3 linked regions of the Rhinolophus ferrumequinum genome follow. The protein of the gene in region 2 interacts with the protein of the main gene of each other region in a pairwise test. Links are inferred from orthologs where the notes say so. Each region holds a gene or a part of one and is shown on either strand. Other genes may lie near its edges. The genes, in order: ODAD1, C9H1orf216 and MYRIP.

Region 1 (10,771 bases), on a different chromosome or scaffold from region 2:
GAATGGCGTAGATCAGCGCCCCGGTAAAAACCGTCAGGCCTGTGGGGAGACAGGAACCCCGTGTCACGTTGTAGCCTCAAGAACACTGCATTCCCCAGCAACCCATGGGGCCAATAAGCCGCCGGAGAGCGAGTGGGTAGCAGCGCTGCCTGCTGGGAGTCTTGGTTCGCTTACAGCGCGGTGCAACCTGGTTACTGCAGACTGGCTTTGGGCAATTTAATCTTCAGGTCCCCTTTACTCATCCACAAAAATGGGACGATAATATCTACTCATCCATCCGCCCACATAAGGAACATTTTTGAGTGTCTTTCTACAAGCCACGAACACAAAGAGTGAACTAATGTTAATAAAACAAGAGGGGGGCTTTGCAGGAACCTGGGAAGATAATGTTCCCCAAACTGAGGGCTATGATCAACTTAGCCCTTTGCACCTGAAGTCAAAAAATTGAAAAATACATAAAACTCCCAGAAGTGCAGTAGGTCCACCAGAAACAGCAGTTGGCTGCCATTATAAGACCACTACTACTATGATTTAGAGTTCTCACCTGGGTTATTGGCTACCTATACCCACCTCCCATTCCTGGGATTTATTTGCCCACACCACATTTCTCAGCCCTGGCTCCTTGAAGCCCCAAGTGCCAGCTCCCCCATGACTCAGAGATATACCATACAAACCATTTTTGAGTCACTGAAAACCACAACTCCCGTAAGTCCCTGGGAGGGAGACAGGTGCCAAGGAGATGGGAGGCTGCTGAGATTTCTTTTTTTTTTTTTACCAGACATCCATTCTCAGGGGCCCCGGCATCCTGACAGGCACCCCCCCCTTCCCTTCAATTCCCAGGGAACAGTGCTCACTGGTGCAAAGTTGGCAGAGGCCAGTGGCATAGAAGAGTCCTCCTCGCCGCATGGTGTAGAGTTGAAACATGAACAGGATGAAGGACAGACAGCAGAGGATAAGGGAAAGCACCATGAGGACTTGCACTGCCTTCAGCCAGCCTACAACAAGGAGGAGATAGAGGTGGAACTCACAGCAGGTTCAGATTTCCAGCTCCACCTGCTTATTCATCATTTGCACCCCCCACCCCCACCCCTGCACACACCGCCATTTAGAGCCATACAAGTTTGGATACTTAGTATCACGTTTATTGACCTTGATACCTGTAACTGCTAAATTCCCTTATCAGTTCTAGAAGTGTCTTTGTAGATTTTTTAGGATTTTCTACATAAACCCACTGGGAATAGAGACTTTTTTTTTTTTTTTACACTTCTTCCTTTTCCATCCTTATGCCATTTATTTATTTTTCTTGCCTTGTTGCATTGGCTACCTCCAGTACAACACGGAATAGAAGTGGTGAGAACAGAAATTGTTGTTTCACTCTTAGGGGAAAAGCATTTCATGTTTCACCTTCTCCCACTCAGACATTTCGATGGACGCAACTCCTCCCCTCTAGAACTCAGATGCATCTGTCACCCTCACCCCTCCTTTAGAACCTTGAAAGGATTCAACCCCATCTCTTTAGAAATTCAATGTGATTCCAGCCCCACCCCCTTGGAACTTGGACAACTTGGTCGCAGTCTTTCATTCGGAACACCAGTTCTATCTCCTTAGAACTTTGGACACATAATCCTATCTTCTCAGAATCTTGGGAGCTTTCTCCTCATTCCTTAAGCCTATAGAATGTGGCCTCCACTCTTTCTGGACCATAAGGGAGGAGGGCTTTTAGCTCATACTCTTTAGAATAGGAGCATATTGCTGCCCACCACCAAGATAGGTGGGTCATACATCAGTCCTACTCACTCAGCATTGAGACCCAGATCTGCCAACTCAAACCTTGGCAGAGTCCCAATCCTTGGTCCCAGGAGGAGACTTGGGGTTACCCCTCCCCTTTGCAGACCAGTCCCCAATGCCCCTCACCATTCTCGCTGACATTAATGCAGGTCCACGTTTTGTTGTCATTGGTCCACATGCAGTCATACCAGAGATTCAGGGACTCCTTCCCTGGGAGGGTCCACCAGGACTGGCATGGACAGAGAAACGGGTAGGGATATGAGAGGAAAGTGGGAGTGGTCAGGGAGTCTGTGGGAAGGGTGAGGAAAAGGGTTTAGCAGGAAAGGGGGAGGAGGTCAGGGCATCAGAGGCAGAGCTGAGAGGGGTAGATGGCAGGGGAAAGGGGTCGGGCTGGAGTGACTTTAGAGGAGGGGCGTGTGGGGAGTCTGCAGGAGAGCGGAGGCCCTGTTGCTGCTGCTCCATGGGCTTACCTTGTCCAAAGTGGCCACGAAAAGCAGGATGAGAATGAGGATGTGAAGGGCAGAGACCACCAGCAGGAGGAGTGACATGGCTGCAGTGGAAGCCTGGGGTAGGGGACATCAGGATATGGTCGTTTCAAGAGGTTGGCACAGGGGCAGGTGAGATGCCCGAATCCTCTTGGAGAATGGGGGCTGAGTCCAGACTCCTGGGTTGGAGGGAGGAGGGGGCTGAGGGCCCGGACTCCTGAATTCCCCAGGGGCTGGAGAGGGTCAGGGATGGACTCTTGGGTCCAGGAATGAGTAGGACTAGCAATGTCTCAGAGGACTAGCATCTCCTCAGAGTCCTATCCCTGGGTGCATATGGATCAGGCTCTGAAAATTCAAGTGGACACCCCTCCAGATTCATCAGAAGCTAAGGGCTGTCCCCAGAGACAGGCATCCTTGACTCACCCCACCCCTCTCCTAGGGTGAGGGGGGGTGAGGAAGATGGGGTGAGTCATTGGTGACTCATCCCACTCTTGACTCCAAGTACCAGGGAAACCCCAGCCCCTGGCTGCCCACGAGATCCCCACCCCACCCTGCTGCCAGACTTGTGCCTGCTGGGCACCTTGTGGCAAAAATGGATGAGATGCCTGTTGGGAGGAGAGAGGCCTGAGAAGGAGCCAGCCTCCTACTACCCTTCAGTGAACAGAAGGGGAAGGGGCCTGGAGGTTCCCCAGACTTCGGGTGTTCTCATGCAAAGCCCTGATCTCCGGGTTCTCAAGGGAGAGTGGACAGCTGTGGGGGAAAACTACAGGATATTTTCAGGTGGAGGGCTCTGTTGGGAACCCCCAAACTTTGCCGGGCCCCACCCCTTCCTGAATCCCCACCCAAGTGCTAAGAGATCACTTCTGAAATTACAAGGATTTCCATAGGGGTGTCCTTCCCAAACAGCTGCACTCCCAAGTAAATAAAGAAATCCCAGTTCGGATAACGGACTGGAAACTTACCGAGAGCAGCGGAAAAAGTCAGAGTTGGAGTCTGTTCCTCGCTTGGGCCTCCGTGCCCCGCCCTTCTCCTCCCTCCTTCCACCCTCTCGAGGCCCCCGCCTCCCTCGCTGCCTTCCTCCCTCCCGCACTCTCCTCTCTGGCCCTCTCAGTCCTTCTCCCTTCCAATCCTGGAACCCTTTCTCTCTTTCTCTTTCTCCCTCTCCCTCTCTTTCTCCCTCTCCCTCTCCCTCTCCCTCTCTTTCTCCCTCTCCTTCTCCCTCTCCCTTTCCTTCTCCCTCTCTCTCTCCCTTCCCCTCTCCCCCTCTTCCCCTTCCACCCTTTTCTCTCCCTCCCTCCCTCTCTCCCTTCCTTCCTCTCTCTTTCTTCTACCTCTTGTCTCTCTCTCCTGTCCTATTCCCCTGTCTTTCACTCTTCTCACTTTCCTGGTTTTTCTTCCTCTGTTCCTCTGAATATATACTGACCCTTTTATACCCACCCTCACCGCACCCAGCTGAGGTCTGCAGCTAGAGGGAGGGCCCAGGCACTTGGGTTCTTCATTCTTTGAGCCCCCGCCCACTGCCCCCAGACACGTATCGTTTCTGCGTTTTCCTCCCAGGGTTGAGATGAGAAGTCCTTGGAGGGAACAGAGCAGAGCAGTACCCTGGGGTGGGGCAAGCATCGGGGTGGGAGGGTCCAAGTCTCAGGCCTCTGCTCTGGGTCTTGTCCTGGGACCTGGGGTCTGATGTCTGCATTCCTTGATGGGGTTTAGGACTGGATACTCAGGGATGAGAGTCTGAGGGAGGAGGCCAGATTCCTGCCATGTGGAGTAGGCTGAAGACTGGTGAAATTGGTACCATGGTGGGTGTCAGTGGATGGGAAATGGGGAAGTGTGAACTCTAAAGGGGGCAGGAGGTGGAAGTTAAGAATCCCAGCGCCAGTATTTCCTGCCCTGGGAACCTTGACCAATTCTGTCAACTTACTGAGCCTCAGTTTCCTAATTTGTGAGGTGGGTATAATAATACGAATAATGACAATATACTAATACTGATAATAATAAGTCTGATACTTATTCTAAATGAATAAGGTAATACCAGTACATTAACACACTTAACACATTCAGTTCTTTCTTCATCAGACATTTATTGAACATCTATTAAATAGGAGTTAATAATAAAGAAAACAGAATGTGACCCTACTGTTACTGTGGAGCTTACCTACCTAGTAGAGGGAGACAGAATAAAGAGAAAACATATCAATGAAGAAGACAAATTTCAGATAGCGATAAGGGCCTTGAAAGAAACAAAACAGAGTGACAGAGATAGTGAGTGTGTGTGTGTGGAACCTACTTTAAACGGAGTAGTCAGACTAGGCCTCTCAGAGGAGTGATATCTGAGCTGAGACCTGAAGACAGGGAAGAGGAACCTCGTGCAAAGGCTCTTGAGAACAAACTCAGGTTGTTTGGAGAGCAGACAGAAGGGCCAGTGTGGCTGGAATACAGGGAGTTAGAAGGAGTGGAAGGAAGGGAAATCAAAGAGGGCCCTTGAAGACTAGGGGAGGAGTTTGGACTAATTTATTCTAAGTGCAGTGGGAAGCCATTGGAAGGTTTTAAACAGAAGTACAGTACCAGGGATCTAATGTTAACTATTATTATTGTCAATTTGGGGGTTATTGAATTAGGGTGGGGGGTGATGACTAGTATGTACCTGGGTTTCTTGGAAGAGCTGAATGCTGGTGAATAGTGAGGGACAGGGGACCAGGTGTCTGGGGTCCTGATATGGAATCTGAGAGCTGGCAGACTAAAATTCTGGGTCCCTGCAAAGGAAGGGAACTGGACCATGGCAAGTCTGGGTATCTGATGGTCCCAGAGCTGGGGGCGGGAGAATGGTTGGTTATGTGGATTCCCAGAGGGGGTGAGGAATAGGCAGTTTAGTGACTGGGTGGGTACTTACGAAGACCAGAAAGCTGGGGTACCTATAGCACAAAAGCTAGAGACACACTGGCTGGATTCAAATCCAAGCTGCTTTACTCTGATTTGGGGCAAGTTACTAATAATCTCTCTATGGTTCATTTTCTCTATCTGTAAAATAGGGATAATAATAGTGAACGCATCAGGGAAGTTGAGTAGTGCCTCGTACAGCGTAAGCACTGCTGTATGTGCTAGTTATACTAGGCATTGGGGCCCTGGGTGGGTTCTGTACTGGGGGACCCTAGATTAAGGTCTCTAGGATTTGGGGAAGGGGCAAATTCTTCGGTCCATTGGGTCCCAAGACTAAAAAGTTGGGAGTACAAAATGAGAGTCCCTGTTTTGGGGAGTATGTGGGTAGTCACAAACTTAAGTCTTTGAGCAGGACAGAAGCTGGGGGTCTAGACTCAGAACCCCAAGGAAGATAGAAAGTCTGGGTCACAGAAGGAAAAACTAGGGACTAGAGGGTCACTGCTTTTCAGGGAGTGCAGGCAAAGGGAGGCCAGCCCCCCTCCCCTAACTGATCCGCGGAGGAGTCTAGGTTAGGGAGATGGAAATTTGAGCGGGGTAGGTGGAGAATAGGAGAGCAGGACTCTGAATCAAGTTCCCTGAGTGGTATTAGCGCCCTGGTATTCGTACCCTGGGGATGTTCAGGGGGGTCTCCCATTTAGGGCCCTGTGATGGCGGAGCATCAGAGGCCCCGAGAGCAGAGGTGGGATCTCCCCTTCTTGGGCCTCCAACGCTACGAGCTTAGCGGAGCGCCTCGCGGGCGGTTTCCTCCCACAGGAAACCACAGGCGTTGGGCACACCCAGCCTGCAGGGAGGAGCGCCTACTGCCCGCCGACTCCGGGGAGGCCCAAGTGGGCAGCAGCCGACCACTAAAGGGGCGAGGAGGTGTGGTCAGACAGGGGCGTGACCGGAAGGCGGGGGCGGTGCGAGGAGCCGGGTGCCCCGCCCACTTCCGCCTCTCAGTCTGCGGACTCCGTGGGCAGCGAAGGGATTTTTCGTGCCTTAAGAGGCCGTTGGCCGCGCATGCGTAGTGAGGTGCTGGGAGGACCTGAGGCGGTGGTGAGCATTACTCCCCCTCACAAGTCCCGGCGCCGGCACCGCCTTCCTGCTAATGAAGCCTCAAAATAACGTGGTCCTAAGATACGCTTCTCTCCGGCCCTTCCCGAAGGACCTCGGTCTTCCAGATGTTTTGCTCTCAACCTTGCCTCCAATTCCCGGAAACACAGCCCGATCCTCGCAGGCCCGTGTTCCCCTTGCAGCCCCTCCCGACCGCCCGCAGGCCTTTCCAGCTAGAGTGCCTCCTGGTTAGCCCCGCCCCCACAAGTCTTGGGAACCACGGTCCTTCCAGCGCCCTCCCAGCGGACTCCTCACGCGCTCTTCCAGCCACGCCCCTCCTTGGCCCAAGAAACCCCGCCCTCCTCAGGTATCCGTGCTCCTCCCCTCGAGAGTCCCCGCAGCCCCGCCCTTCACAGGTACCGGTGATTTCCCCAGCCCCAAACCTCACAGACCCTTCCGGCTCCGCCCTTTACAGATCTCCGAGCCCTTCCCTCGCAAACCTCGAAGGCCGGATTATAGCGGGCCCTTCTAGTCCCGCCCCTTATAGGGCCACAGCCCCACCCCTCACAGGGCTCCCCAACAGTTCTGTTTAAAGCCGGGGGGGGGGGCTGGTGGTGGGGGTGGGGGTGGGGGCGGGGATCCGAGCAGGTATTCTCGCCGCCGCCTCCGCCACTCCTCCCCAGCCTCCCCTCCCACAGCCTCTCTTCGCGGCCTCGATCCCTCCCCTTATCTCCCCAGTAACCAGACCACAACAGTGAGCTAGGAGCGCCAAGGACAGGGCAAGCACTCCAGCAGGTAGGGAAGGGGCCTCGTTCCCTACAGCGGTCCTTCCTCTGTGATCCCTTCCCCAAACCGCCCCCTTCAGAGATACCGAGAGCCTAAGGGACCTGTCCCCCCGCGCCAGAATCAGAGCCAAGATGCAAGACAGAGAATGTGAGAGGTGGGAGGTTGGAAGGAGTGTGGGGAGAGGCCAGAGAAGTGTCCCCCCTCCAACCCATTGGGGGAATTGAGACTCAGAGAGAGGCCAGAGCTGATTTTGGGGTCGTCTTCCAATTCCTAATCCCTCTGTGCATTGCCCACCTCCTCCCCGCCCTCTCCTGCTTGCTGTCTGAAGGGGTCCTGTGTTACCGCTGCAGGAGTCCCACCCTCTTTGGGAAAGATGCCTTCAGGATTCTCTGCAGGGAACAACCGCTCCGAGAATGGCAGCGAGGCCTACCTCGAGGGAATGGGTAATTCATACGATCTTTTATTTCACTCATTCTTTTTCTTTATCTCATTCTTTTTGTCAGGGTTCCCAATTCCAGGTCCTGTGCTTCAGAGCCATGGGAACAAGGTGGTCTTCTAGGAGAGCCTTCTAGTGGGGAGCACAAGTGTGGGAATGGACGTGGAGGGAGGCATATGGGTGGGCCAAGACTTACTGCAGGACAAGCTTGAGTGGGGCCCAGAACTCCTCCCTGGAATCACCAAGGGGTAAAGAAAGGGGAGAGTGTTTCAACAGAGAGAACAGCACGTGGCTAGAGCAGGGTTTGTCAATCTCCGCACTGTTGACACGTGGGGGTCAGGTAATCCTTTGTTATGGGGACTGTTCTGTGCCTTGTAGGATATCTAACAGCATCCCTGGCCTCTACCTACTACAGGCCAGTAGCACCCTCTGCACCTCCGCTACCTGCCCCACATTGTGACAACCAAAAATGCCTCCAGACAATGCCAGATGCTCATGGGGGATAGAATAGCTCCAGGTTGAGAACCATTGGGCTGTGGGAGGTGGGGAGCTGGTGGAGACTTGGAGAAGTGGATAGTCAGGTCCTACAGGGCATTGAACACCAGGCTGAGGAGTTGAGACTGTCCTGGGGGCGCTGGGGCGCCAGGGAAGGCCTGGGAGCCGGGAAGGGCCAGAGTCCGCTCCGAGTGTAGAAGGAGCCCCTGGGGCTGTGAGGGGAGGCTGGGAGGTTGGGGAGAAGGCTGGAGTGATAGTCCAGGCAAGAGTGGATGAAGCCTCAGCCTAGGAGAGGGCCTGAGAGTGAGGAGCAGGAGGGTGGGACTGAGGATGGCTCAGCAGCTGGGGGTGAGGGGGAAGGAGGGAGCAAGACTGCTGATTTGGTCCCCTGTCTTCAGCTTTCCCAAGTTCCAGGTCCTGTGCAGTGGATCCTTGAGGACCATGAGGCCCTCCAGGAGCGCCCTCTAGTGGGGAAACAGATGTATGCCCAAACCGGAGAAGGAGTGGGTTTTAGGGAGGAAATCTCAAGGTTAGCAAGGGGTACCTTGCTAAGGGATGAGGAAGTTTGAGGCAGTCCTAGAGGGGTGTTGGGGACTGGGTCTGCAGTTCAGTTGCAGCTTGTGAGACCCTAAGGGAGCTAGGATTCCTACCTAGGTCCTAGGGAGGAAGGGGCTGGGCCTGGATTCCTATTGAGTCCCTTGCCTGGTCTGTCCTTCAGTGGACTGGGAGCTGAGCAGATTGCTGCGGCAGTGCAAAGTGATGGAGGGTGAAAGGCGGGCCTACAGCAAGGAAGTCCACCAGCGCATCAATAAGCAACTGTGAGCCGAGTGCCTGGGTCTCAGAACTGGAAGGGGGCTGTTGAAGGGTTGGGGGTCAGACTCGGGTCTGAAGCTGGGGCAGGCCCAGTGTATCTGGCCTTTAGTGATGCTGACCTTTGCCCCTTGCTGGCCTCCCCTCCTCCTCCCTGCCTGGGCAGTGAGGAGATCCACCGCCTAGAGGAGGTGCGGGACAAACTTCAGGTGCAGATCAGCGTCGCCCAGAGCCAGGTCAAGCGGCTGCAGGACAATGAGAGGCTGAAGAACATGGGCCGCTTGCTGAAGTGCCAGGCCCAGGTGCAGGCCGAGGTCAAGGAGCTGCAGGAGCAGGCCAGGACCCTGGACAGGCAGGTGGGTTCTGAGACCAGACTCTGGATCTTGCTTAGGGGCAAGTGTCGTAATTGCTTTGAGACTTAGCTTCCTCATATGAAAAATGGGGTTATTGAAAGCATCGCCTGGCATTGGGGTGCCCAGGCTCCAGAATGTGGGTGTTTAGTGCTGAGCACAATCCCACACATTCAAAAGGGGGGCTGGTGCAGTTAAGGGGAAAGGTTCACTTTCTGGAGTCGGTGAAACCTGTGTTAGAATCCTGGTCCAGCCACATCAGAGCTGTGTGACCACGGGCACGTCTTCACCTCTCTGGGCCCTAGTTCCTTAATCTGCAAAAGGAGGATGTTGGTAATGGAGCAGAGTCTAGACAGGTGTCTAATCCTCCCTGCCTCAAGATCTTGCTATGTGACCGTGGAAACAATGTAACTTTTCTATGCCAGTGTTCTTTCAAATTTTTATGACCACGACTGGTGACGCAGTTCATACACATATAGATGCAGATGGATATAAACACATGTGCACATATATGTTTATCTGAAACAAAACCTTCACCAAATCATACTTTCTTTCTATGTGTAATTCTTTCTGTTATTTTCTCTTCTATTCTTCATTTTAAAAAGTTGCTTTTCTAGAGCAAGTGATTTCTTGCACACTATGGGATCACAAACAGGAATTTGAAAGTTACTTGTATCAGTTTCCAATTGTTGCTGTAACAAATTATCACCAACTTGATGGCTTAAGATAATACACATTAATTATCTTACAGTGCTGGAGGACAGAAGTCCAAAATGGGTTTCACTTGGGTAAAATCAGGGTATCAGCAAGGTGAAGCTTCTGGATGCTTCAGGGGAGAATCTGTTTCTTGGTCTTTTCCAGCTTCTAAAGGCTGTCTGCATTCCTTAGCTCATGGCTCCTTTCTTTACCTTTTAAGACACCCATGAACACTTGAGTGTTTCTTATGCAGCATCACTGTGATCTCTGCTTTTGTCATCTCCTCCCCTTCTCTGATTCTGACTCGCCTGTCCTTATGATTACATTGGACCCACTCAGATAATCCCGGATCACCAACCCATCTCTCAATATCCTTAACTTGATCACGTCTGCAAAGTCCTTTTTGCCTTTTACATCACATATTCACAGGTTCCAGGGATTAGGAAGTGGACATTTTTTGGGGAGGGGGACATTATTTTGTCTATCACATGATCTATAGTCTGTTTTATTTTACATTTGACTTCTAATCAATCACTTTGTTGAGCTCTCAGTATGACCCTGAGCTGCTTTTTGGAAGCTGAATTCTGATTCACATACGCCAAACTTTTGGCTGTTTCATGGTAGTACAGTGGCTTAGTGAATGCCGGCTGCTTGAATTGGTTTTCCTTGGTCTTTCATGGAAACTCACCAGAGTCTGGCCCAAACAGGATGATTTTATTATCTTGACCCCAAGGATTCCTTTGCCCTAACAAATGGAGAATTATAGGTCAGGTGGAGAATAGGGTCCCTGGAAGAGAGCTCTGTAAAGTTCCCCATGAAGTCAAGAAGGGATGTAGTTATCTGGTGACATTCACTCAACAAAAATGTACTGAGTGCCTACTAAGTGCCAGGCACTGTCCTAAGTGTTGAGGACACAGAAGTGAACAACACAGATAAGGACCCTGCTCTCATGTAGT
Region 2 (10,050 bases):
AGCCTCATCTCCTACCTCCATTTCCCCACAAGATCCAGTCACACTGGCCTCTGTCTTGTCTGAAAACACTCTAAACACACACGCCACGTACAATCTCCTCTGCCTTCTCCTGCTTTCTCTCTGTGAGCTTCTAGTCATCTTTTAAAGCTTGGCTCAGATATCACCTCTGTGAAGCCTTTCCTCACCCTCTTATGTACTCATGACTTTTGCCTTCCAGATATCACCTTGAGCCTACCCATCCCTTTCTTCCGGGGAGGACTAACATTCAAAAATTGTCTGCTTAGAGAGGAACTCATGCCTGTCCTAGTTCCTGGAGTAGAAATTCTTTTCATCTTCCCTTGTTTCCTTACCTGACACCCCAGGCCCCCAGGGCCAGGACCTGGCTACTCGCTGCTCGCCTCTCTTGGCTCTGATTTCTGTCTGCTTGCCAAGATAGCTCTCACTGCTGGATCCTTGTGATGGGCTGGCCCGCTGCACATCCCTGTTCAGGCTGGTACTGGCCATTTCTGGTGATTTCGGTGTGTCTGCCAATTAAGTCTCTGCAATCTAAGTAGTTGGGTGGACATAGTCACAGATACCGCTTCACTGAGGGTGACAGATTCCCTGGTATCCTGACTGAGGACGCTTCTGGTGAATGAATAACAGACATCTATACATCGGCTTTTCTGTGGTCATGTAGACACGAACGCCTCTGCCTTCCGGGGGTTTTTTATTCTCCAGGCTCCCAGCTCTTTGAAAATTATGGAGTGGCCAGGCCCACTGTCTGAGCACTTACTGCATTAATTATACAGTGCTAGAGTATCCCATACAATATTTCCCTTCACTAAGAAAAGAGAGGCTACAGTCTGATGCCCTTGGAATTCACTGGACTTATCAGGTATTATGTTATTTAGAACAACTAGCTTTATAGAAAAATGGAATGAACAATTGATGACTTGGCTATGCCAGGTTGGGTTCTGCTATGCCGAGTACAATATAGGTATTAAATCAACAATCAGTATACAATTGTTGGTCTTTTGTAGCCAGAACACATATAAAGAGGTAGAGATGGGTGTGATACCTTCCATGATTGTACCTAATGACTTTCTCCAAGAGTTTACTTCCTGCCTCTGATATCCTGGTTCTGCCGGCCAGGAGGTTTTAGCAGCTAGGGAGGAATGTTTCTAACCAGGGAACACAAAGATGATTCCACAGCATTGCAAGCTCCTCATAATATCAGAGGAACAGAAGAAAGGAGGTTACAGTGTAGGCTGATCTGATAAAGGCTATCAAGGGGAAATAGAGTTGCTACTACTTAATGAGGGCTGAGAGGTTCATGCATGAGTGAGACCCAAGGGTGTTCTATTAATCAGCATTCTTTAGATTGCTAGTGAAAGAAATTCCACTCAAGTTAGGATTGGTAAAATGAGGGCCTTATTGGAAGGTATACAAAGGCCTCAGGAAACAGGGACTGGAACCTCATGAGGACTTCTGTCTTTCGTCTCTACTTCTATGTGTCAACATCATTTTCTCCTACTAAAAACTGACTTCTATGTGCCAGAGAATGTGAATGTTACAGCTTACATCTTCCCTGCTTTGTCTTCCTTTAATTTTATTTCAGAAAGTCCCAGAGAAGGGCTCTGACTGACTCACCCGGAGTGGGGAGTTCTATCCCTGGACTCACCAGGCTCCCATTTAACCCACGTGGTTAGAGCTGGGAGAGACAGAGCCAAAGGAGAGGTGGGGTGGAGCTGTTCTGGGCCCACCAAACAATCAGATGACATTATGGCTGTGTGGCATGGGAAGATTTGCATAACTCCAGACCACTGAAGCTCAGAGCCTTTAGGATTGAGGGTTTGGATCACCTCAGAAGGAAGCAAACTCCGGCTGAAGGCAAGGGGAACTTGCAGTGGTTAAAGGAAAAGGGAAGACTAGTTAGGTCTTGGAACCTGATGTAGAAATAGGGCTGAGGGCTCCACCTGTATATTTGTAGCTGGGGGAGTGTCCAAAGTTTGAGATACTTTTGCTTTCTCCCTTTTTTATTTCCTTTTCTCTCTTAAAATAAGAGTTGTCATAATCATAAAACAAAAAGTTTTTTTCTTCTTCCACTCTCCTTATTTTTGTACATAGGATTTATTGGTGTGATTTAATGTGCCATTTAGTCTCTAAGTTGCAGAATGGTGAGTTGGAATCAAGTTGAAACTGGAAGAGGATGCCCTATCATGGAGATCACAGAGTTGAATTCTTCCTCATTGAAACAAACAAACAAAAACAAAACAAAAAAGCAGCAAAAGAGAGGGATGAGGGAAAGACAAGGTATTTTAAATGTATTATGGTTCAAAGATGACTCCATATTAGTTTAGTTTAATTTTGAAATGGGGTAGGTGAGGAAGGTGTAGCCAATTGTGTAGTTTGCTCAGTAAAATGGGGATGTGGAAGGGACCTTCTGGAAGCTCACCGTGCCTTGAAAGCTAAATTTGTCCCAGTCTTCTTTCTGAGGTTGCCTAAGTTAAGAACTTAATTTAAGAAGTCTTAGGTTCCCAAACACCAGCCATTGCTTTTTGGTGTTGATCATTAAAGTCAGCAATTACTGTTTGCTTTGCTTGCAAACTGGGCCCCCAAACCCTCAGTTCCCCCAAGGAGGAAGAAAGTGAGGGGATCAGGCTTCAGTAAGTGGAAACTGAGAAAAGCTCACTGCACTGGCACCAGAGAGGCACTCATCGCCCTGTGGGAAGCCACCAGGGCCTGGGTGCAAGACAGTAGCCCCATGCCTGACCCAGAGTAGATTTTCTTTCCTCTCTTAAAAACGTAGCTTTCATAAGTGGCTTTAATAACTAAGCATAACATGAATACAGAATTTCCAATTGTGACAGAGACTATGAAGAAAAGGAACAAAATGCCCAGGGATAATATAAAAGGGGGTCAGAGAAGGTTGATCTGAGAAGAGATCTGAAATATGAGAGCGGGGAGAGAATGTTAGGCAGAGGGAACAGTGTTTGTAAAAGCCGCCTGGCAGGCAGAAAGAAGCGTCAAGCCGGGTTGCAGAGATGGAGCGCAAAGGCTGAAGCCGGAGAGGCAGACGGGGCAGGATGATCAGACCTCTGGGGCTGCTGCCTTAAGGATCTGCCTTGCAACAGGTTTTTGGCAGGAGGGTGGTGACATGATCAGATTTTCATTTTGAAAATGTCAGTGTATCCACAGTGAGGCAAGCCGATCGGAGAGGCCCAGTGAAGGCAGTTAGGAAATAAAACTGTACCTGCAAGGCCTCGGTCAAGGCTGCGGAAGGCGAAGGAGGGGAGGCGGCTCCCGCGCTCCGGCCTCCGCGCGCGGCTCCGCGGGAAACCGAACCGGCCCACGTGGGCCGGGCGGCCCCGCCCAGAGCGCTGACGCCGCCCGGCTGGCTCCGCAGTCCGCAACTGGGGCTGGGTGCACCGCTCCGGAACCCCGCACCCCACGCCCGGGTCCCGCGTGACGCCCAGGCCGAGGGACCCCTCAGCCCCGAGGGACGAGTTCCCGTCGCGGGTCCCGCGGAACCAGAGCCAGCCGCGCTGGGCAGACGCCTCCAGGCGGTGAGTCCAGACACTGAGGTTCGGGGACGAGGAGGGAAACCGCAGCCTCGGCCCAGCTGCCCCGAACGGAGAGATTAGGAAAGGATGGTCTCTATCTTTTGTCTGCGGGGGTAGTCTTCCTCTTCCACTAGGCTAGGCAGGAAGGGAGGCCGCTTCCCCCTGTTTTTACAGAATCACCCTTCCCCATACCCACCCACCCCTCAACCCCGGCAGACTGCGGATTAGCTCGGAGAGAAGCCTGACCCCGGGTGTCTGGGTTTCCATTTTACCCTCTCTGAGAACCCCGCTATTCGTAGCACCACCCTCACTGCATCCCAGCCTCCTTCGTGGCCCCGCCCAAGTTTAGGAAAAAGAAAACATTTGGGCGGAGAAGATCTACTGGCACCTTGTTTAGCAAGGAGGGTGTTGGTAGGTTATGAAGGGACGGTCCCTACATCATTCCCCCAGGACTTCTGCCCACTACTGGATGTGGGAAGGGTCCCTGCCACTTCCACTATCCTCTCACTCTTACTGATCCCACATTTTTCTAATCCTAGTAGTAGATGGTCAGCAGAAACCTCGTGTCAATTCAAATACTAATTTTGGTAAAGCTGGTTGTTGGGGAGGAAAGAAGAGCATAGTATGCCCTCCCTCCAGGGCCTCAGGATGGAGCAAGCTGGAGGGACACAAGATGGTAGGCATGGAGGGAAGGGGACAAGGTCCAAGAGAGGCTTGTCTGTGCGTGTGTGGGTGGGTGAGTGGGCGTCCTCCTTGGGCAGAAGAGGGAACTGAACCTAGCTCTTCTAGCCCTGGGCAATCAGCAGTAGCGGCCTGCTCCTACTGTTGGCCCCCATCCATGAGTATAGATATCCCGCTCTCTCACCCCCATTTACTCACCCAGCAAGTGTGGACTGACACTAGCTTAATGCCAAGTTCCATGCTGTCTCCTAGAAATACGGTGGGAAATAGAGGAGTTCCACGTCTAGTCAGGCAGCCAGGTTTATGAACTGCTTTTACAAGAGACTTAAAAAAAAAATGAATAGACATTTACTGACCATAACTATGTGCCAGGGACGAGAAAAAAACATGAATAAGACAGCGTGTACCCAAGGCTGTGGGGACCCAAAGGGAGGCAGTGTTTATGTATATTGGGGCAGTGAGGAGAATTTCAGGATGGCTTCAGAGACGGGGGATATGAGAGCTGAGTTTTGAAGTACAAAAAGGAATTTGCTGGGTGGAGAAGGGAGGATCTTAGAGAGCTGGGGAGAGGAAAGGTATGGCAGGCTAAAGGACCCATGTGAGGAGAATGACGGTGCATTCTGAGACCTCTGAGCAATTTGTGCGGTGGGAGGGGCAGAGCATCTAGAGGCAAGTCTGGAAGGGTGAGCAGGGGCCGGATGAAGAACAGCCAGGCAGGCCGTGGAGAGATTTAGCAGAAGTTTAGGGAAGGCAGTGGGAGCTGTGACCAATCAAATTTTCATTTTTTTGTAATAAAGCTTTTTTTCTTTCTTTCTTTCTTTCTTTTTTTTTTTTTTTTAAAGATTTTATTGGGGAAGGGGAACAGGACTTTATTGGGGAACAGTGTGTACTTCCAGGTCTTTTTCCAAGTCAAGTTGTTGTCCTTTCAATCTTAGTTGTGGAGGGCGCAGCTCAGCTCCAGGTCCAGTTGCCATTGTTAGCTTCAGGGGGCACAGCCCACCATCCCTTGCAGGTTGTTATTAGCTGCAGGGGGCGCAGCCCACCATTCTTTGCGGGAGTCCAACCAGCAACCTTGTGGTTGAGAGGACGCGCTCCAACCGACTGAACCATCCTGGAGCTCAGCGGCAGCTCAGCTCAAGGTGCTGTGTTCAATCTTAGTTGCAGGGGGCGGAGCACACCATCCCTTGTGGGAGTCGAGGAATCAAACTGGCAACCTTGTGGTTGAGAGCCCACTGGCCCATGTGGGAATCGAACCAGCAGCCTTCGGCGTTAGGAGCACGGAGCTCCAAATGCCTCAGCCACCGGGCTGGCCCCTCAAATTTTCATTTTTAACTGCAGGCAGAAAGATCAGTGAAAAGGCTGTGGCATTCAGTAATCCAGGTAAGAAATGGCCTGAACCAAGTGAAAGTGAGGGGAGATGTATGTACATAAACACAGAGGTTTTTAAGAGGAAGAATTGTCAGTGTTTGGTGGCCAATGAGATGGCAGAAGAAAGCAGAGTGAGTCCAGGATGCTTTTAAGTTTCTGGTTGGAGTGACTGAATGCACAGTGAGGTCATTTTGCTAAGGACACTGAAGATGGTGAGCTGGTTTGGACGTGTAGAATTTGAGGAGTGGTTGGTTACAGAGTTGGGTATCAGTTGGATCTGGGCTGGAGACAGATCTGAGAGTCAACAGCACATGATGGTTGTTGAAGCTACAGCAGAGGATGAGGTCACCTGGGGGAGAAGTACATAGAATGAGAAGACAACATGCCTCGAGGGCTGAGGGAAAACCCTCTGCAGGAGACCGAGAAGTAACAGTCAGAGAGGGAGGAGGAAAACCACGAAGGGAGATGTTAGCAGAGACCAGAGAAAGGAACTGAGAAGGAGCAGCCAGGCTCCCGCTTGCTGCCTTGTCCCAGCAGCTAGGTTGCCTGGACTCAGGTATCCCACCCTGTCCTGCTCTGACTCATTCTTCTGCTTCCCCTCTACAGACCAAATGTTCGCCTTCCAGCCAGGGGTGGCTGAGGGGGGCCAGTTCCTGGGGGGCCCACCTTCTGGAGTATGTCAGCCTGAGTTCCAACCAGATAGCAACTCCAACTTCATGGCAAGTGCCAAGGATGCCAATGAGAATTGGAGTGGGATGCCAGGCCAAGTGGAGCCCATTCTGATGAAGAAATCCGCGTTGCCCTCTGATAACCAGTCCTTCCAGGCCCCTGGACTTCCTGAGGGGGAGGTCCGAAGCCCACCAGAAGGGGCAGAGATCCCCAGAGCTGAGCCTGAGAAGATGGGTGGTGCTGGCACAGTCAGCTCCCCTCTGGAGGACAATGGCTATGCCAGCAGCTCCCTGAGCATTGACAGCCCCAGCAGCAGCCCTGAGCCTGCCTGTGGGACCCCTCCAGGCCCTGGCCCTTCAGATCCCTTTCTGCCCTCGGTGGCCCAGGCTATGCAGAAGCTGCAGGCTCAAGAACGCTACAAAGAGCAGGAGAAGGAGAAGCACCACATGCACTTGGTGATGTACCGTCGCCTGGCTCTGCTCCAGTGGATCCGAGGTCTGCAGCACCAGTTGATTGACCAGCAGGCCCGCCTGCAGGAGAGCTTCGATACCATCCTAGATAACCGGAAGGAGCTTATCCGCTGTCTCCAACAGAGGGCAGCACCATCCAGACCCCAGGACCAGGGCTAAGAGCGTTCCTCCACGGGGTGCAAGGGGTATCTGTAAATACTTGCAGGCATGAATGTGGTTGTGCGCAAGTACATAATTATTAGCTGGTATGAGTGCAGCTAAGGATAAGTGAGTAGTATGTGCTAACATGTAGTGGATATGTGCAGGCATGTATGAATCCGCACCTGGGCACCAGCTTGCATGTGCGGTGTGTACACACGAGCTAACTTAATGTGCAGGCCTATGTAGGAGTGTGTCCATCTGTGTATGTGTAGCATGTATATAAGAGGGAGTAAACTTGTATATGCATAGACAAGTGTGGACAGGCACCCAGAAGTGTGTGTATACAAGTATGCATGAGTGAGGATGTACAATTGACCCTTGAATAACACAGGTTTGAACTGCATAGTCCCGCTTATGAGTATATGTGGATTTTTTCCAATAAATATGTATAGCTCTGTAAGTGTATTTTCTCTTATGATTTTCTGAATAGCATTTTTTCTTCTCTAGCTTACTTAATAGTACTGTGTTTCCCCGAAAATGCTAAGACCTAGCCAGACAATCAGCTCTAATGCATCTTTTGGAGCAAAAATCAATATAAGACCTGATCTTATTTTACTATAATATAAGACCGGATCTTTATAATATAATAATATAATATAATATTATAATATAATTAATATAATATAATACCGGGTCTTATATTAATTTTTGCTTCAAAAGACGCATTAGAGCTGATGGTCTGGTTAAGTCTTATTTTTGGGGAAACACAGTAAGGAAAATAGTAAGTATATGGTGCATATAACATACAAAATGTGTGTTAATCGACTTTGTGTTATCAGTAAGGCTTCCGGTCAATAGGCTATTTAGTAGTTAAATTTGAGGGGAGTCAAAAGTTATACACGGATTTTTGACTGTGTCAGGGGTCAGCAGCACTAAACCCTGTGTTGTTCAAGGGCCAACTGTATATGCAAAAGATGTGTGTGCCTATGAGCGAGCTTGAGTGTGCAGGCTTGTGGTGGGTGTATGTGAGGGAACCCTTGTGTGTGCAGGCCTATGGGTAGGGATACATGTGTGTAGGTGCAGGCATGGGAAGTGTAGATTAGGAATGTGTATTTGCAGGTAGACTTGTGAGCAAGAGTGTGCAAGTATATATTCAGGTGCACATGTGGAGCATGCATCCATACCCTATGTTACCCATGGCCTGCCATAGCCTTTTTTCTCCACAGGGTCGCACTGCTTCCTGGAAAGAGGGCATCCTGCTGTCATTTATCTGCAGCTTATGGCTGATCCATTCTCTTGGGATTTCCCAGGCCACCTCTCCTCCCTCTCCTCACTCCTCCCAGACCTTGCTTTGCTAAGGCTGCTGTCCCTGATGATGGATTTGCTGTAGGTGGTCGCTGCTTTAGCCTGCCATGGCTTTTTGGCTGCAATTTTGCCAGGGCAATTGGTAGAGAATTAATTTCAGGGAGGGGAGCTGGGGATGGTGATCGACACCATGGTAGGAAAGGGGGGCAGGATCAGAGAAGAAGATAGGGGACTGTCCTTCTTGAACTCTGCCTTTGGGTACATGGGAGATGGGGATGGGGGAGATGATGATGGCAGAACCCTGTGAAGAATAGGAGAATGGGAATTCTAAAATACCAGTTCCAAATAAACCACACCTCTCCACTGCAGAGGAGCTTTTGCCGACCATACTGACATAAGCTTCTGATGAAAAGAAATGTGTGCTTATAATCTTGCAAGGAATGGACAAGGTGATCCCAGGGTGTTGGGAATAATCTCACTTCCGTCTCTCTGCCTCTACTTCGTATGCCTCCCTGGCTTTAACAACACTGGATGTTGAATGAGTTTGGTCCGTTTCCCTGAAATTAGTCTGTCTGGGCCAGGAGGAGGCACAGTTCAGCTTTCAAGGGTGGGCAGGAGCAGTGTCAGCCCAGCCTCTGGAAGCTCTTAGGATGCTGGGTCATACCCTCGTCCATCACTGTATGGCCCTTTGAATGGGGTTGACAGGTTCCAGCAGAAGCTCCGTGAGATGGAAAGTGGGTGAGTTCTGGGGAGAGCCAAGGACAAAGGTAGCCAAGCAATGTGTTTTGCTTCTGAGAGCCAAGAGGATACAAAATCCTGATGGGTGAGCCGTGGCATGGATGTCAACAACACTGCCTCTGTCCCTTAGTCTTCCTATCTGCAAAATGTGGGGGCTCTTTCTGATGATCTCTAAAGAGTTCCATTCCTGATGGGGGGGTGGGTGAAACAAACAGGGGATGAGGCTGAAGCAATGACCCTGGGGACTTTGTGTCTAACTCTTGCATGTTGAGTGTAAACCAAGATAAATAAACTGGAACAGAAAAATGCATTTCTTTTTTTTAAAGGTTTTTGTTAAAAAACATAGCTAACATACAACATTATATCAGTTTCAGGGGTACACCATAGTTATTCAACATTTATATACCTAAAGAAGTGATCACCATAAATCCAGCGACCATCTGATACCACATTATGCTATCACAATATTATTGACTATATTCCCCATGCTGTACGTTACATCCCCATGACTTACTTGTTTTTTACCTGGAAATTGGAACCCCATTCCTCTTCACCTTCCACTCCCTTTTTAAATTTTTCAATGACATGTAACATTCAGTATTGTTATGTATTAACTTCAGTTGTACAGCATAGTGGTTAGACATCTGTATAATTTAAGAAGTGATCCCCCTGACTAGTCTAGTACTCACCTGGCACTATACAGTTAATTAACATATTATTGACTATATTCCCTATGTTTTACTTTACATCCCCATGACTATTCTGTAACTACTAATTTGTACTTCTTAACCCCTTCACCTTTTTCACCCTGTCCCCCAAACCCTCTCCCATCTATCACCCCAATAAATCTAGTGCCCATCTGACACCATACATAGTTGTTACAATATTATTGACTATATTCCTTGTGCTATAATCTTCATCCCCATGACTACTGTGCAACAACCAATTTGTATTTCTTAATCCCTCCCCCTTTTTCATCCACCCCTAGCCCCCCTCCCATCTGGCAACCATCAAAATGTTCTTTGTATCTATGAGTGTTTCTGTTTTGTTTGTTTATTTTATTTTATTTTTTTTAAAGATTTTATTGGGGAGGGGGAACAGTACTTTATTGGGGAACAGTGTGTACTTCCAGG
Region 3 (10,951 bases), on a different chromosome or scaffold from region 2:
GTCACATGTCTTGTTTTTCTAATTAACCACTGCTGAAGAGCAGAAAATCCAGGATTTCCATGTTAAAGCCTCCCACCCACCTTGAGTTGTTCAAAAACCTGAGTGTTTACTGTGTCCAGTGGGGTCCATCCTGCTTCCTTATACAGCAAGCATAGTGGATGTGTGTCACGGTCCTTTGCCTCCTGCTCTCTCTTGGTGACGCTGTTGAGGACAGGTCCTTTGTAGACTAATTTGTATAAGCTTTTGTGTGAACATAAATTTTCATTTCTCTAGGATAAATACCCAAGGTGAAATTGCTGGGTTGTATGGTAGGTCTGATTTTAGTTTTAAAAGAAGTAGCCAAACTAATTTCCAGAGTGGTTGCACCATTTTACATTCCTGCCAGCAATGCGTAAGTGACAGTTTCTCTGTCCCCTCACCAGCATTTGGTGTTGTCACTGTTTTTTATCTTACCCATTTTTATAGGTATAGTGGTATCTCATTATAGTTCTAGTTTACGTTCCTCTAATGGCTAATGATATCGAACCCATTTTCATGTGCTTATTTGCCAGCTGTATACACTCTTCAGTGAAATATCTCTTCACATCTTTTGCCCATTTTCTAATTGGACTGTTTGGGGGTTTTTACTGTTGAATGTTGAAAGTTCTTTACATATTCTAGATAGAAATCCTTTGCAGATATGTTATTTGAAAATATTTCCCCCAGTATATCGTTTGTCTTTTCATCTTAACAGGATCTTTCACATACAAATTTTTAAATTTTTAAAACAATTTTTGATGAGGTCCAATTTACCAGTTTTTCCCTTCATTCACCTACTTTTCACTCAACAAATAATTATTTATTATATGTCTAAAATTTATCAATATTCCAGACACCCACAGGAATCAAAGATGTGACATGTTCCCAACTTTAAGGAATTTCCAGTCTACTTGGGGATATTGGAGAACTACCCAAACAACTGATATTACATAACAAGTGCTAAGTGTCATGGAAGATGTAGAGATACTTTTTCTTTTCTTTTTCTTTTTTTTTTTTTAAAGAAAATCAGATATCATGTTTTGGCTGAGTGAAGGTTTTACTACTTCTATGCCAGAGAACACCACAAAATGGCATAGAAACTTCCTTTATTAACTCATTTCTTTTCCAGGTTAAAATAATAATTTTTAGATAACTAACATATTCAATCTCATTCTGTGCAAGGAAATTCCACATGGATTGTGTAAATTAGTAACGATCTTTCAGGGCAATGGAAAGGATTGCACCGTATTTTTTATTTAGGAAATCTAGGATTCAGCAAAATTAAGTAACTTGTCCAACGTCACGCACACAGAAAGTGGTAAGGTCAGACTGGCACTCCAGTATTGTGATTAATGATCTTTTAATTCTATCCAGAATCCTTCGAGACATGTCCTTTTCCTGCCAATATAAACTCATCAGTCTTCTGGCTAAGAAATGGACTGATTCATGTTTTAAAAGAATATGTGATTTTCTTGGTGTACAAAAGTCAACGAGCTCTTCTTGATTAAGGAAGAATCCATTAAAACTCTCACAGTGGTCAAGATCACGCAGAAAATGGAAAAAACAAGCTCTGCCTGTGAGTCACAAGGGGCAAAAGAAGGGACGGATATTGCTGGAATTCAGTAAAATTTCGTGGGATGACAGCTCAGGATGGAGTAACCAAGGAGGTAGCATTTTAGGTCATCTTCTTGCAGGCTCATCTTCAAACGCCGAATTTTTCATGGGGAATGATTTAAAAGAATCAATAATAGCTCTGGTGAAGAACTGAAGTTGTGTCTCTTTTAACCTAAAGGATGACAAATAGGGAACTGGAGCTCTTTCTCATTCATGATGTCTCTGGATTTCCATCTGTACTTTTCTTTCTGTATTTGACCTTGCCCAAATCATTGAACTATTCTGTGGGGACAGAGCCCCAAAAAGCAGTTTCCAGGCTCTCGGCCTCACATAGAAAGGTGCTGGCTCAGGTAGTAAATGGCCATCGACTGTGATCAAATGGCCATCAGCTGTGGCTAGTTGGCCATCAGCTGTAACCAGTGAGCCATTGGCCACGAATATAACTGCCATAGCTACACTAGAAGAAAAATGGGGGCTAGCAAGAAGATGGTGGCCAAGCCTGCAAGCGGCGCAGTGAGGGTTGAGAATTGTGTGGCTCCTGTTTCCTGTTTCTCCAACCCAGCCGCCAGCGAGAGTATAGTGGTATGACTCCCCTACTTATGGCTCCGTGGGTGTTCCTTTTTGGCCTAGCCATATCCTGCATTCTTATGTGGGGAGCGGGAGCTGAGACCCTGCAGGCCATCCCGCATGACACTTGGCGTAGTCGGCAGGATACCCCGCAAGCCGCCCTGCACTACACATGGCGCAGCGAGCAGGGTATGGTGTCGGCCAAAGCTCTCGAACGGCGGTGGAGCAGTTTGTGCCTATGAACACTCAGTTGCAGGAAGACTAGGAGGAGCAGCTGCCTGAGAGCTGGACCCCGTGGAGGGATGGGAAGACGTGGACAGTTCCCCAACCAGCAGAGGCCAGAGAAAGCGAAGGTTGTTGCGGCCCCGTGGGCTGGGAAGTGCTTGCTGAGGCAGCCCGGATGCAGGACTTGTAGTCCCAGGAGGAAACACTTGCTGAGTCTTCCATGGGAGATGAGGGTGAGGTCAAGGTCATCTCACCCCCAGGACAGCCCTGGCGAATGACTATGGACTATGGGGAATTGCCTTCCATCCCTAATTTAATTGACCACTTGACTGTTTGGGAACATACCACCATGTAATGGAACTGGCGGATATTTGCTTTTGTGTCTTGACTGGCCGCCATCGAGAATATGTAAGCACCTTGACTGTGAGACGCTGTTGTTCCAGCACGATACCCTGAGAGGCCCAGAGAGAGTGGCAGTGCCCTGAGAGCCCTGGCTGAGTCCAGGAAGTCTGGCTGTGTCCAGAGAGAGTGGCAGTGCCCTGAGAGCCCTGGCTGAGTCCAGGAAGTCTGGCTGTGCCCAGAAGTACTGGTGGCGCCCTGAGAAACCCTGGCTGTGCCCAGAAAGCCTGGCTGTGTCCAGGAAGTAGCATTCACCTCCAGGCTCCTCGCACAGGGCCCCTCGCGGAAGACGCTTGTCGCGTAGATTGTGAGGCGAAACCCTGTAGGGGTGGAGTGTGGGGACAGAGCCCCAAAAAGCAGTTTCCAGGCTCTCGGCCTCACATAGAAAGGTGCTGGCTCAGGTAGTAAATGGCCATCGACTGTGATCAAATGGCCATCAGCTGTGGCTAGTTGGCCGTCAGCTGTAACCAGTGAGCCATTGGCCACAAATAAAACTGCCGTGGCTAGGCTAGCAAGAAAAATGGGGGCTAGCAAGAAGATGGTGGCTGAGCCTGCAAGCGGCACAGTGAGGGTTGAGAATTGCGTGGCTCCTGTTTCCTGTTTCTCCAACCCAGCCGCCAGCGAGAATATAGTGGTGTGACTCCCTTACCTGTGGCTCCGTGGGTGTTCCTTTTTGGCCTCACCATATCCTGCATTCTTATGTGGGGAGCGGGAGCTGAGACCCTGCAGGCCGTCCCGCACGACATATTCTGTATGTATTTATTTGTCTTTTAAAATGTTTATAACTTAGGGATGATGTTAAGACCTTGTAAAGAGGTAGGTTTATATATTAGGTCAGTTTTGCGAACACCTGCAAGATGTCAAATAACCTTTGAACCCAGCCCCCATTCTTGTCATGATGTAGCTACTGTAGGGCCACCTGTGGAGAGTAATCCTTCCCCCTTCTACATTCAAATCTTTACTCTGCTGGCCTGAGATGCAGCTGCAGAGACAGAGGTCTTCACAATGTCTGGAAACAAACGAAGACAAGTGTTTAGAAGTGGCTTACTGTAGACCAACAGGAGGCACCTGTAGGAAAGCATGCACCGACTACCTGCCAACATTTGGGCAGGTTTATTCCCACCCCTGTGCTCATCTCACTATCCCCGTTCATCCCCAAACAATCAGAATACCCCAGGCCTGACCATCTGACTACTCAAGTCCTAGACAGCTCCGGGGTAGAGCATGAGTGAAGCAGGGAGAAAGAGTTTTCTTGGGTGGTGTAATGTGCACTCTGGGAAAGACGGGACTTGCCTCATTCTTGGATCCCGACCAATGAGAAGATGATCCTAGAGCTGCCACGTGTCACTATGTGAAGTAAGTCGATTTAACAATGAGGCCCACAGAGGAAAGCAGAGAGGGGAGGAGGAGGGAGAGAAGAGGGAAGGGGAAGGGAGAGAGGAAGAGGAAAAGATGCTGAGACTCTAGTTCTACTTCTGACATCACTTGAACCTCTGAATCCACATGTGCCTGAAGTTGCAACTACCATTTATTTCATATAACAAAAGGTAAAAAACGGAACCTTAGACAGATACATTTGGTTGTGCATATGTCGATTTTCTCTAGGAGGGTACACAAGCACATGAGAGCAATGGTTGTCTCCAGGGAGAGGAATTGAGCGTCTTGTTAACTATCTACCCATTTGCACTGTCTGAATTTCATACCACGCCAATGTTACTCAAGCATAGATAAATACAATTAAAATTGAAGGTAAATAACATAGAACCAAAACACAGACTTTCTTCCACTTTAACCAGTTTTGTGGATTATAAAATCCCTTTAAGAGAGGAAAACAGATCTTTAGAGAAATCAACTCCTTTACCTTCCAAGTTTCCTTCTTAAAGTCCCCCCGCCCCCACCCCACTCTCCCGCGGACAGATCAGCAAACCAGCGAGCCATCCATTTCTACTGCGTAAATTTACACGGAGAGAGCAGCTCAATCCACCGTCCTGAGAAAGGATTCCCAGGGTTTTAGGAATCACCAATGTAGCTCCACAAACGCTGTATTCTGATGGAGTGACTTCCACCCTGCAGCTAAAATTGACAGTGTGTTTTCACAGCAGAGTTGTTCGTGCTGAGGCAGTCTGTTTTAGGAAGATTCCAGGCCTTGTACATTATGGATGCAAACTCACGCTGAAGCCCTGGCCTGGAGGGGAACCTTTCAACTCCTATTTGCTTTTTCAGGACCTGGAGCACCTGGCAGGTGCCCGAATGCGTTCCTCACCTGCAGTAATCTTCCTGCGTCCTTCTGCCAGCGCGGGCTCACTAAACCGGCGGTGTGGAAGCCAAGGGGTTTGGGAGATTTGGGCGCGCAGTGGCCTGGGACAGCTCTTCGAGCCTAACGCGAATCCAGTCCACGCGTGTTGAACGAATGAGAGTCGCTAGCTCAGTAAATTCATGAGACTAAAGGGAATCTAGACCAGGGGGTGGGTCAGCACGGTGACTTTAAATACCCAGGGACTGACTGTGAAGTGGAGAGCTGTCTTTGGAGAAGCTCCACGCCGGCTCTTCGTGAGGCTCCAGACTCCCGCCCGCGAGCCAGGCCGACCCGGGATCCCGCGACCCAACACTCCGCGGTCAGGGAGGGGCCGGGCCCCCGAGGTTTAGGGGCGAGCGACCGGAAAAGCCTGACTTCAAAGCTGAGAACGACCTGAGGTCTCACCTGGGGGCTCCTGGGCCGCGGCCCCGACACCGCACTGCCGGGCTAAGGGGCGCCCAGGAGAGGGCGCGGGACCCCGCCCCGGGCGCGCGCAGCCCCAGCCCCGCCTCCTCCCGAGGCGCCCGCCCTCCCCGCGCGTGCGGCCCGCGCGCCGGGGGAGCTCGGGAGAAAGCCGCGGGCAGGTGCCCCCGGCCCAGCGCAGGCGCGATCGCGCGCAGTCCCTCCAGCCGGGCACCCCGCACGCGCCCCCGCCCCGCCTCCGCACGCGCCCCGGCCCCGGGCGCCTCTGATTGGCGGCCGGCCGGGCCAGCGTGTCGGCGGCGGCTGCGGCCGGGCTGGCCCTGGCTGCCTGCGGCGCGGGCGCCTCCCTCTCAGCCGCGGCCGCCGCGGCGCTCCCGCCTCCTGCCGGCTCCCGGGCTCCCGCTGCGGCTGCGGTTCGGGCGGCCGAGCCCCGCGGCGTTGCGGCTCAGATCTGGCGCGCCGCACGACCCGCGCCCCTGCCTCGCAGCTCGCCGCCTCCTGATCCACGCGCCGCGCTGCGGCAGGTGCCCCGGGCGTCCTGAGACGCGGTGGCCTGAGCCCGGCCGTCATCGATGACCCGGGTCACGGACCTGCTCCAGCCTGGTCACCCCGTGTGAGTACCGTCCCCTCCCCTCAGAAGGCTTTCCGCCACCGTCCCTCTTACGTTGCAGCAACTTTGGGGGTAGGTGTGTGGAGGTGTCTCTCACGTCCCCCCACACCCCGTGCGCGTCCTGAGCCAGGGTCGGGGGCTTGGCCAGTCCGCGGCTGCGGAGGGGCACGGGGGTGGGGGCGTTGAACTTGCGTCGTCGCAGAGTGGGAACCGTGCCTTCCTCCGGCTGCCGGGGCCGAAGCTTGCCTCTGTGTGTCCCTCGCGGTTTTCGATCCCCACTAGCCACGTAGCTCTTGGGTTGCTGTTCACCGCGCACCTACTAAGCTACGGGCGCACCTGCCGGGCGCCTTAAATCATCCGGTAAGCGCCCGGAAGCAGCCCAACGCGGTGGACTTGACTCTTTCGGACTCTTAATTTCTGTAAAATGGGGCTAATCAGGGACTCGCTCAAGGTCACAGCTGGTGCACGGAGTAAGAATCCGAGTCGATTGCGTCTGGCCGGTCCCCGGACTGCCTGGAGAGGGACGCGCTGTTGCGGGGAAGGAGGGGGTTGGTCACTTCAGCTTCATCCCGGTCTCTTCCTCATACTCCCTTCCCCCAAACTCCGCCTTATTTGGAGAGGTCGGGATCCGATCCCAAAGGACCTCGCGGGGGACCTTCGGAGCGAGCGCGGAGAGGAGCAAGTCCACGGTGGGAAGCCCTGGACCTGAGACATTTGCAGTATCCCCTCCATTCCCCGTCACTTAATTTGCTAACGTCTGGGCAGAGTCAGGGGAATTTGCTAGGTGCCTGCTCCGTCTCCTTCTCCCAAATAAGTCCTGTCCCCGAGGATAAATATCCGAGACTCTACCTGCACATACCAGTTTGGGCTCAGGGACTTCCTGAGACGCGGGTTCGTTCTGAGGTTGGCTTCCCCAACACTGGCTCCCATCAGCTCTTAAAACAATGCCTCTGGCTTCATTTCTGCTCGCCCCTCCTCCCTACCCCTGGATCTGGATTTGTTAAACCCTTTCCTTGGGGAGGGTGGAGTCCCGTCCCAGAATGTGTAAATGTTGGCAGACGTGAATCTTTTACTCCAGATCCTTTGAGGCAGCTCCTGTGGGGCTGTGCGCGGTTGGAAGAACTTTGGACGGGGGAGAGAATGTTCCCTCCCCTTTTGACATATCACCCTGTCCCTCCAACTCAGCCTCCCTTGCCCCAACTAGGCGATGACTACTTAGATAGGTTTGTGATGTTTGACAAACATCTTTGAGCCTCGACGTTTTTTGTTTAATGTATACAATGGAATAATCCCTGCCTTTTAGTCTTCCCAAGGCAATTATGGTTCAGGGGACATGTCAGATGTGCAAGTCGAAGGAAGATGGTCCAGAAGGAACTGAGCTGTTGGTAGAAATGGAGGTGATTCAAAGAATTTTTTTACAGCAGCCTCGAGGACCCTATTCACAAATCTAAAAATCCTTCTTTCCAGAGAAATTTATTTTGGTAAAACTTTGAAGAGACTACTCTCCATCTCCCTGTTGATGTTGCTTGCCTGGTCATGGTGATTGAAACTGACAGTGGTGTAGACTGAATCCTGTTTCCTGTCTCCCTGCCAAGAGGCACAGAAGGAGAGTTCATCTGTGGCCTTAACCTTCAGAGCAGCTCACTCACATGAACTGAAATACTCCATTGAGAACCGAGCATCTCCCTGCTTTTGCCTTTCTGGTTATTACCGTGTTGGCAGACTTTTGTCTCAAAGGCAAGTTAAGGAGGGACAACTGACCAGACCTTGGTGAATTTGTTTTAATATCATATTGAAGTATGACATAATCACAGCAAATGGCATAGATCTGAAGTGCATTCTCAATGGACTTTCACAAACTGAACACACCTGCGGACCCCGTGCCCAGGTGAAGACCTATCATACCCCCCCAATCTCCCCATGACACCTACAGGCACCTTCCCTCAAGGGTAACCATCATCCCGCTTAGTTTTGTCAGGTGAGTTTTAGTTTTATTATTATGATTTATTTTATCATTTTAATTTCAAAGTGAAAATGAAACTGCTAGATGATTTTCTACCTCTTTTTTATATGTATGTAAAGCAAAGGTAGTTATACCTAAGCCAGTCCAGAAAGTTAGAAGGAAGAATTTGGTCTTAAGATCTGGTTGGAGTCTGAACTGGTTGTACCATTGTCCGCCCCCCCCCCCCCCCCCCCCGCCACCACACACACACACCCTGATCATTGGTTCTTGTTCTTGGGTGATGTGACCTGCTGGACCCTAGATGTAACAGTGCTGACAGGGATAAATAGAGGCTGGTTTACTCGTAGAGTGTATTTGAATAATACAAATCTGAAATAGTGTGGTAATAAAATATAAATGAAGAAAAGATATGAATGAATTCTTATTTGAAACATAAAAATGGAAATATTTTGAATTTCTCAAGGTGAAAAATTTGGTGGATAATCGCAGAATTTCAAGGCTGAGTGACTTGTGAGCTGTTCGGGCTGTTGCCACATGGTGGCGCCACATTAGCGGGACAACTGAAATACCCACCATTCTTTCCCAAGCCCTCCGGAAGGAATCCTAGGAATAAAATCCTAGGAATAAAAATCCAACAGTTCGGGAATCTCCAAAAGTGATGTCTGCACACGGTGGTTTTTGCAGTGTCTGGCAGGCAAGCCTCCCTCTGCTGCCTGCCAAGTCCGTGGCTAGAACACTATCCCAGCTTTTTGTGGGTTGGGGCAGGTGGAACTGAGACACTGTTGCTTTCTCTTTAATAACGTGGAGCTGTGGTATGTCCTTGGAATTTTAAAGAGGATCAGTTGAGAAGCTAGCTTAAGTGTGTTATGGTTCTATTGGTCTCATTTCACCCCAGAATCCCCCAGAGGTCTGAGAGAAGGAGTTCTCTTTCCCGGGGCAGGTAGCTTTTTCCACAGAGCACTGTCCATGGTGAACTTAGAATACTAAACAGGCCTGGGTGTAGCCCAACTGCTGCTGGCAGAAGGGCCCCATGCCTTCCACAGCGTGGGGACCAGGTCACCAGGAGAGCCCTCAGGAAGTGGGCATGCTGTATCCAGCTGAGACAGCTGAGCAGACCCAGTCAGTGCCCTTCAGCACCTTTTCCTCTGTCAGTGTGACTGAATGTTGTTTAGGTGATTGGATTTGTGTGATGGCTGCGAGCCTCTGATTGCTACGAGTGTTAAGTATTTGCCATGTGCTGGACACTAAATATATATATATATATATATATATATATATATATATATATATATATATATTCATTTAATCTTCACTATAAGAGGAGGATGGCTTTCCTATTTTATAGATGAAGGAACTGGGCCTTGAAAATTAACCACTCTTTCTGAGTGTACGCAATATGTGAGCCAGAGTGAGGTTTGAGAGCCAAGTCTCTCAGACAGCTTCCCAGCTGAATTGTACCCTTCTGCAGGGTTAGAGAAGTCTTGCGTAGTTCTTTTGTCTTCCCTGACACCTAGCATAGCACTCTACATATAGTAGCTACTTACGTCTAAGAATGGGGATTGCCATACATAGAAAATTGTGGGCTGAGCAGAAAGGAAGTTCAGACACGGAGGGATGAGAATTTGGGGTTGAGTCCATGCAACGTGTAACACTGGGACTGAGTGTGTGCCCATCGTGTGTAGCCTTCTTTTGTGTTGAAAATTTTATGGAAATGAAGGCCTGTCATTTATTTTTGTGATTTGCTTTTTTCACCTAATACTGCTTTTTGATATGTGTTGATAACATATGTTGATAATTATAGATGTACTATTTCTTTGATATACCAGAGTTCAAATATTCCCCATCGATGGACCGAAAAAATGGTTTTACCATTTGCTATTATAAATAGTACTGCAGGGAATATCCTTGGTAAGATCTTGTAGAAATAGACAAGAGTGTGTCTAGGGTGTATACCCCCTGAAGTTTCATATCTGGATAGTAGGATATGCTCGCATCAACACTTGTCTGTTACTTCAACCCTACTAGGTTTTGCAAATTGCCCTCTGAAGTAGTTCTGCCACTTAACACTCCCACCAGCACTGTGTTGGAGTTCCTTGTATCCCCATATCCTCCACGGTGCCTCCTGCTAATTAGATACTTTAAATTTCGTTAATCTGATAAGCATGGAATGTATCTCACTGCTTTTTTACTTTGTATTTTCTTTAGCGGTATTTAAAAGATGTATCGATTTTCAAGTTTTCTTTTCTACGCGCTGCCATTTTTTACTAGATAAAACTTTTAGGTCTTTAAACTCATCTGAAATTTATAATTCTGTATCGTGGGAGGCAGGAATCTAATTGTTTTCTGTATTTAAAGCCATTGATCTCATTATCATTTAATGAATAATTAACTATTTTCTCCTTTATTTCGTTGCCATCTCTATCATGTACCAATTTCTGTTATATTTTTGGAGGTTTCTTAACTCTGTTCTGTTCTCTTTGTAACTCCTCAGCTAATACCATTTTCATTTAATTATTAAAGCTTTATAATAAATCTTCTCTTCTTAGCCTTTTTCTTCAAACTTGTCATGGCTGTTCTTGACCCTTTAGGCTTCAACATGACTTTTAGGATCTAGCCGAAATATCCCCTCCCATGAAAAAACACTGTTATCAAAATTTGGTAAAACATCAAATAAAATTATTTATTTGTTTCTTTTTCTTCAAATACAGTGCTAATCAAACCTTTTAATTTCCCATTATTTACTGTGAAATTTTAGTCCCCATTTTAAGTGGATTCACTTTAGGTGACTCTTCGTTCATATCAGCTATCCTTGAATAATAAGGACCATATTTTTTTA

Evidence for each region.
Region 1: the proteins of C9H1orf216 (region 2) and ODAD1 interact in binary tests that used the Homo sapiens proteins (3 or more experiments, as listed by UniProt). The two-hybrid records come from large-scale screens. The link is inferred for Rhinolophus ferrumequinum from reciprocal best matches to the Homo sapiens genes C1orf216 and ODAD1.
Region 3: the proteins of C9H1orf216 (region 2) and MYRIP interact in binary tests that used the Homo sapiens proteins (3 or more experiments, as listed by UniProt). The two-hybrid records come from large-scale screens. The link is inferred for Rhinolophus ferrumequinum from reciprocal best matches to the Homo sapiens genes C1orf216 and MYRIP.

What each region holds. Positions count from the first base shown.
Region 1 is NC_046298.1:43,908,202-43,918,972, reverse strand, and holds the start of ODAD1 (outer dynein arm-docking complex subunit 1), read left to right. Parts: upstream 1-5,874; 5' UTR 5,875-6,609; exon of another isoform or gene 6,610-6,658; intron 6,659-6,881; exon of another isoform or gene 6,882-6,980; 5' UTR 6,981-7,037; intron 7,038-7,356; 5' UTR 7,357-7,401; coding exon 7,402-7,471; intron 7,472-7,962; exon of another isoform or gene 7,963-7,981; intron 7,982-8,357; exon of another isoform or gene 8,358-8,440; intron 8,441-8,677; coding exon 8,678-8,777; intron 8,778-8,935; coding exon 8,936-9,125; intron 9,126-10,771. Other genes in the region: EMP3 (epithelial membrane protein 3), read right to left, coding at 1-39, 855-995, 1,915-2,017, 2,259-2,336. UniProt on the Homo sapiens protein: Component of the outer dynein arm-docking complex (ODA-DC) that mediates outer dynein arms (ODA) binding onto the doublet microtubule. Involved in mediating assembly of both ODAs and their axonemal docking complex onto ciliary microtubules.
Region 2 is NC_046292.1:24,780,251-24,790,300, reverse strand, and holds C9H1orf216 (UPF0500 protein C1orf216 homolog), read left to right. Parts: upstream 1-5,450; 5' UTR 5,451-5,515; coding exon 5,516-5,606; intron 5,607-6,200; coding exon 6,201-6,892; 3' UTR 6,893-7,364; downstream 7,365-10,050.
Region 3 is NC_046300.1:13,119,375-13,130,325, reverse strand, and holds the start of MYRIP (rab effector MyRIP), read left to right. Parts: upstream 1-5,908; 5' UTR 5,909-6,155; intron 6,156-10,951. UniProt on the Homo sapiens protein: Rab effector protein involved in melanosome transport. Serves as link between melanosome-bound RAB27A and the motor proteins MYO5A and MYO7A. May link RAB27A-containing vesicles to actin filaments. Functions as a protein kinase A-anchoring protein (AKAP).